Saccharomyces cerevisiae S288C: one gene and its partner. Changing the gene in region 1 together with any one later gene gives a genetic interaction. Each region holds a gene or a part of one and is shown on either strand. Other genes may lie near its edges.

The links.
Region 2: of TRX1 (region 1) and GLR1, changing one enhances a phenotype caused by changing the other (phenotypic enhancement), as found in Saccharomyces cerevisiae (one study listed by BioGRID).

The regions. Positions count from the first base shown.
Region 1 is NC_001144.5:231,159-233,982, reverse strand, and holds TRX1 (thioredoxin TRX1), read left to right. Parts: upstream 1-1,969; coding exon 1,970-2,281; downstream 2,282-2,824. Other genes in the region: PDC1 (indolepyruvate decarboxylase 1), read left to right, coding at 1-1,593. UniProt on the Saccharomyces cerevisiae protein: Participates as a hydrogen donor in redox reactions through the reversible oxidation of its active center dithiol to a disulfide, accompanied by the transfer of 2 electrons and 2 protons.
Region 2 is NC_001148.4:373,347-377,589, forward strand, and holds GLR1 (glutathione-disulfide reductase GLR1), read left to right. Parts: upstream 1-2,155; coding exon 2,156-3,607; downstream 3,608-4,243. Other genes in the region: SSU1 (Ssu1p), read left to right, coding at 447-1,823; 40S ribosomal protein eS6 RPS6A, read right to left, coding at 3,945-4,243. UniProt on the Saccharomyces cerevisiae protein: Catalyzes the reduction of glutathione disulfide (GSSG) to reduced glutathione (GSH). Constitutes the major mechanism to maintain a high GSH:GSSG ratio in the cytosol.

The DNA of each region.
Region 1 (2,824 bases):
TTGGACAAGATCTACGAAGTTGAAGGTATGAGATGGGCTGGTAACGCCAACGAATTGAACGCTGCTTACGCCGCTGATGGTTACGCTCGTATCAAGGGTATGTCTTGTATCATCACCACCTTCGGTGTCGGTGAATTGTCTGCTTTGAACGGTATTGCCGGTTCTTACGCTGAACACGTCGGTGTTTTGCACGTTGTTGGTGTCCCATCCATCTCTGCTCAAGCTAAGCAATTGTTGTTGCACCACACCTTGGGTAACGGTGACTTCACTGTTTTCCACAGAATGTCTGCCAACATTTCTGAAACCACTGCTATGATCACTGACATTGCTACCGCCCCAGCTGAAATTGACAGATGTATCAGAACCACTTACGTCACCCAAAGACCAGTCTACTTAGGTTTGCCAGCTAACTTGGTCGACTTGAACGTCCCAGCTAAGTTGTTGCAAACTCCAATTGACATGTCTTTGAAGCCAAACGATGCTGAATCCGAAAAGGAAGTCATTGACACCATCTTGGCTTTGGTCAAGGATGCTAAGAACCCAGTTATCTTGGCTGATGCTTGTTGTTCCAGACACGACGTCAAGGCTGAAACTAAGAAGTTGATTGACTTGACTCAATTCCCAGCTTTCGTCACCCCAATGGGTAAGGGTTCCATTGACGAACAACACCCAAGATACGGTGGTGTTTACGTCGGTACCTTGTCCAAGCCAGAAGTTAAGGAAGCCGTTGAATCTGCTGACTTGATTTTGTCTGTCGGTGCTTTGTTGTCTGATTTCAACACCGGTTCTTTCTCTTACTCTTACAAGACCAAGAACATTGTCGAATTCCACTCCGACCACATGAAGATCAGAAACGCCACTTTCCCAGGTGTCCAAATGAAATTCGTTTTGCAAAAGTTGTTGACCACTATTGCTGACGCCGCTAAGGGTTACAAGCCAGTTGCTGTCCCAGCTAGAACTCCAGCTAACGCTGCTGTCCCAGCTTCTACCCCATTGAAGCAAGAATGGATGTGGAACCAATTGGGTAACTTCTTGCAAGAAGGTGATGTTGTCATTGCTGAAACCGGTACCTCCGCTTTCGGTATCAACCAAACCACTTTCCCAAACAACACCTACGGTATCTCTCAAGTCTTATGGGGTTCCATTGGTTTCACCACTGGTGCTACCTTGGGTGCTGCTTTCGCTGCTGAAGAAATTGATCCAAAGAAGAGAGTTATCTTATTCATTGGTGACGGTTCTTTGCAATTGACTGTTCAAGAAATCTCCACCATGATCAGATGGGGCTTGAAGCCATACTTGTTCGTCTTGAACAACGATGGTTACACCATTGAAAAGTTGATTCACGGTCCAAAGGCTCAATACAACGAAATTCAAGGTTGGGACCACCTATCCTTGTTGCCAACTTTCGGTGCTAAGGACTATGAAACCCACAGAGTCGCTACCACCGGTGAATGGGACAAGTTGACCCAAGACAAGTCTTTCAACGACAACTCTAAGATCAGAATGATTGAAATCATGTTGCCAGTCTTCGATGCTCCACAAAACTTGGTTGAACAAGCTAAGTTGACTGCTGCTACCAACGCTAAGCAATAAGCGATTTAATCTCTAATTATTAGTTAAAGTTTTATAAGCATTTTTATGTAACGAAAAATAAATTGGTTCATATTATTACTGCACTGTCACTTACCATGGAAAGACCAGACAAGAAGTTGCCGACAGTCTGTTGAATTGGCCTGGTTAGGCTTAAGTCTGGGTCCGCTTCTTTACAAATTTGGAGAATTTCTCTTAAACGATATGTATATTCTTTTCGTTGGAAAAGATGTCTTCCAAAAAAAAAACCGATGAATTAGTGGAACCAAGGAAAAAAAAAGAGGTATCCTTGATTAAGGAACACTGTTTAAACAGTGTGGTTTCCAAAACCCTGAAACTGCATTAGTGTAATAGAAGACTAGACACCTCGATACAAATAATGGTTACTCAATTCAAAACTGCCAGCGAATTCGACTCTGCAATTGCTCAAGACAAGCTAGTTGTCGTAGATTTCTACGCCACTTGGTGCGGTCCATGTAAAATGATTGCTCCAATGATTGAAAAATTCTCTGAACAATACCCACAAGCTGATTTCTATAAATTGGATGTCGATGAATTGGGTGATGTTGCACAAAAGAATGAAGTTTCCGCTATGCCAACTTTGCTTCTATTCAAGAACGGTAAGGAAGTTGCAAAGGTTGTTGGTGCCAACCCAGCGGCTATTAAGCAAGCCATTGCTGCTAATGCTTAAACTCACCCAATGACCGATATATTGTGTTTCTATACTGTGTTTGTTATATATAGTTTACCTTTTTTAGACAAAAAAACAGAATTATATATTATCCTTATGTTTTGTTATTTACTCGGAAGCACACAATTGCCCACCACACAAAGGAGGTGGAGGAAACAATTAATTTTTCACACAAGAGGTATATATTTGGAGAAAAATGAAGAATGAGATACTTTTCTTCCGATTACTTAAGTATTACGGCTCTGAAATTTTCTCGAGCATTAGATGATTAAATCAAAATGACATAGTATTTCGCAACCTTTCAGTTGGGCTTTGTTTAAGAAGTGGAATACTTTTGCTTGAGTTGTTTAGTTTTATTTTATCCACTGTTGTCTTAACAAATATTTTCAAGACCGGTAAGCCGAAGATGAAAAATCATTATTAACTCATTTTTTGAACAAAAATATAAACAAAAGAAAGGCAACGCACAATTTTAGAGATACATAAAACGCAGTGGATGTTAAAAATAACAGCGGTACAGAAACGCCTGTCTCGCTCCAATAA
Region 2 (4,243 bases), on another chromosome or scaffold:
GCAGTGTATCGTATAAGGCAACAATAGCGATGTCTCCCATCAATTGACTGATAAATTCCTGCAAACTATCATTTTTTTTTTTTCATCCTTGTGCCGCGTCTGTAGCCGAAAATCTGAGAGTGCATGAATCTTAAAAAACAGAAGACTCATCGCCGTCTTTGGCACATTGGGGTTGTCTTTGACTTCTTTTGCTTATTTTTGCTCACTTTGCTTATTTTACCTATTTAACTAGAGGTTCTAAAAGAATAGCCAACCAGCGTGTAGTTCTTATTTCTAATCCTTGTCTTGTTAAGTTGAAACTTGTGATATTGGCTGAACAAATTCTCCGCATTTAGACAACACACAAATTACAGCTTTCCCCTAGTAACGATTGTTGATTGAGCTCAGACAATACGCGCAATTTAAAAACGTTTTATAGTGTAAGAGAAGACAAGTACAAGAAAAAAATGGTTGCCAATTGGGTACTTGCTCTTACGAGGCAGTTTGACCCCTTCATGTTTATGATGGTCATGGGTGTCGGCATTTCATCGAATATTCTATATAGCTTCCCATATCCTGCAAGGTGGCTAAGAATATGCTCCTACATCATGTTTGCTATCGCTTGCCTTATTTTCATTGCTGTGCAGGCACTACAAATATTACATTTGATTGTCTATATTAAGGAGAAAAGCTTCAGAGAATATTTTAATGACTTTTTCAGAAATATGAAGCACAATTTATTTTGGGGTACTTATCCCATGGGGTTAGTTACAATTATAAATTTCTTAGGAGCACTCTCGAAAGCGAACACGACGAAGAGCCCCACTAATGCCAGAAATTTGATGATATTTGTTTACGTCTTGTGGTGGTATGATCTCGCAGTCTGTCTAGTAATAGCGTGGGGTATCTCGTTTCTCATCTGGCATGACTATTACCCTTTGGAAGGGATTGGGAATTATCCTTCATATAATATCAAAATGGCATCCGAAAACATGAAAAGTGTATTGCTACTGGATATCATTCCGCTGGTTGTCGTCGCTTCAAGTTGTGGAACATTCACAATGTCAGAAATATTCTTCCATGCGTTTAATAGAAACATTCAACTGATAACGTTGGTCATATGTGCCTTAACGTGGCTGCATGCCATTATCTTCGTCTTCATACTGATTGCGATATACTTCTGGAGTCTTTATATTAATAAGATACCACCAATGACACAGGTTTTCACCTTATTCCTGCTTTTGGGCCCGATGGGCCAAGGAAGTTTTGGAGTCTTATTGCTTACAGATAATATAAAAAAATATGCGGGCAAATATTACCCAACAGATAACATTACAAGAGAACAAGAGATATTGACTATTGCAGTTCCATGGTGTTTCAAAATTCTAGGCATGGTTTCTGCTATGGCATTGCTCGCTATGGGCTATTTTTTCACCGTGATTTCTGTCGTTTCAATCCTGTCGTACTACAATAAAAAAGAGATTGAAAACGAGACAGGAAAAGTGAAGAGAGTTTATACCTTCCACAAAGGTTTTTGGGGGATGACTTTCCCGATGGGTACTATGTCTTTAGGAAACGAAGAGTTATATGTGCAGTATAACCAGTACGTTCCCTTATATGCATTTAGAGTCCTAGGAACCATATACGGCGGTGTTTGCGTTTGTTGGTCAATTCTATGCCTTTTATGCACATTGCATGAGTATTCTAAAAAGATGCTGCATGCTGCCCGTAAATCTTCATTATTTTCAGAGTCAGGTACGGAAAAGACGACAGTTTCTCCGTATAACAGCATTGAAAGCGTGGAAGAATCAAACTCGGCTCTAGATTTTACGCGTTTAGCATAAAATTGTTGGTTTTATACGTACATAATTGGCAAGCATTTCATGTAGGAGTCTCAATAGATAGTTTAATTCATTTGCACGGCGCTTTGCTGCTTTTGCTTCTTCACGTTGGTTTTCACTATGCCTGATATTTTTTGACGTCACTTAGTAAGCACGACCCTTGTCAATTTTTCGAGGATTTCGGAGCTTTCCATTTGGAATCTACTATTAAAATCAGTCTAAAAAAGTATAAGAAACACTTCTGGTTTTTCTCATGCGCTTCTCACTCTCAGTATATTTTGCTGCTTTCCTTCATATGTATATATATCTATTTACATATTAGTTTACAGAACTTTATGCTTTCTGCAACCAAACAAACATTTAGAAGTCTACAGATAAGAACTATGTCCACGAACACCAAGCATTACGATTACCTCGTCATCGGGGGTGGCTCAGGGGGTGTTGCTTCCGCAAGAAGAGCTGCATCTTATGGTGCGAAGACATTACTAGTTGAAGCTAAGGCTCTTGGTGGTACCTGTGTTAACGTGGGTTGTGTTCCGAAGAAAGTCATGTGGTATGCTTCTGACCTCGCTACTAGAGTATCCCATGCAAATGAATATGGATTATATCAGAATCTTCCATTAGATAAAGAGCATTTGACTTTTAATTGGCCAGAATTTAAGCAGAAAAGGGATGCTTATGTCCATAGGTTGAACGGTATATACCAGAAGAATTTAGAAAAAGAAAAAGTGGATGTTGTATTTGGATGGGCTAGATTCAATAAGGACGGTAATGTTGAAGTTCAGAAAAGGGATAATACTACTGAAGTTTACTCCGCTAACCATATTTTAGTTGCGACCGGTGGAAAGGCTATTTTCCCCGAAAACATTCCAGGTTTCGAATTAGGTACTGATTCTGATGGGTTCTTTAGATTGGAAGAACAACCTAAGAAAGTTGTTGTTGTTGGCGCTGGTTATATTGGTATTGAGCTAGCAGGTGTGTTCCATGGGCTGGGATCCGAAACGCACTTGGTAATTAGAGGTGAAACTGTCTTGAGAAAATTTGATGAATGCATCCAGAACACTATTACTGACCATTACGTAAAGGAAGGCATCAACGTTCATAAACTATCCAAAATTGTTAAGGTGGAGAAAAATGTAGAAACTGACAAACTGAAAATACATATGAATGACTCAAAGTCCATCGATGACGTTGACGAATTAATTTGGACAATTGGACGTAAATCCCATCTAGGTATGGGTTCAGAAAATGTAGGTATAAAGCTGAACTCTCATGACCAAATAATTGCTGATGAATATCAGAACACCAATGTTCCAAACATTTATTCTCTAGGTGACGTTGTTGGAAAAGTTGAATTGACACCTGTCGCTATTGCAGCGGGCAGAAAGCTGTCTAATAGACTGTTTGGTCCAGAGAAATTCCGTAATGACAAACTAGATTACGAGAACGTCCCCAGCGTAATTTTCTCACATCCTGAAGCCGGTTCCATTGGTATTTCTGAGAAGGAAGCCATTGAAAAGTACGGTAAGGAGAATATAAAGGTCTACAATTCCAAATTTACCGCCATGTACTATGCTATGTTGAGTGAGAAATCACCCACAAGATATAAAATTGTTTGTGCGGGACCAAATGAAAAGGTTGTCGGTCTGCACATTGTTGGTGATTCCTCTGCAGAAATCTTGCAAGGGTTCGGTGTTGCTATAAAGATGGGTGCCACTAAGGCTGATTTCGATAATTGTGTTGCTATTCATCCGACTAGCGCAGAAGAATTGGTTACTATGAGATGAAGCAACGAAACTAGACGTCCAATCTGCTGTTGCTATACTGGACTTTTGTACTCTTGTAAACAATCTTATATAGCATCCTGAAATACGTAGTAATTTTGTCATTTCTGTTCAAGGACAAGGGTTCCTTTTTTTTTCAGACTATTAGCTACTGTGGACTCGCTTGGATATTCAGTTGAGGATACATTCCGACTCTCGTTTACAATACATATGATTATTTTTCTTTTTGTTAATTATATAAAAAATAAAGTTATTTGATTTTAAGCTTAAAAATACACAAAATACAGAATAAGAAAGGAGTTTTTGAACAAAAGAATTTATCTTTTACTGCTTTCTAACTTTAAGCCTTCAAAGAAGAAGCTCTTCTCTTTCTGATTTCAGCCTTCTCAGCCTTTCTTTCAGACAATCTCTTAGCCAACAATTGAGCGTATTCGGCAGCAGCTTCTCTTTGAGCTTGAGCGTTTCTGACCTTCAAAGCTCTTTGGTGTCTCTTTCTTTGCAATCTTTGAGGAGTAACCAATCTTTGGATCTTTGGAGCCTTGGTGTAAGTCTTTTCACCCTTGGTGACTTCTCTTCTGATGACGAAATCACGAACGTCATCTTCCTTGGACAAACCGAAGAACTTTCTGATGTTGTTAG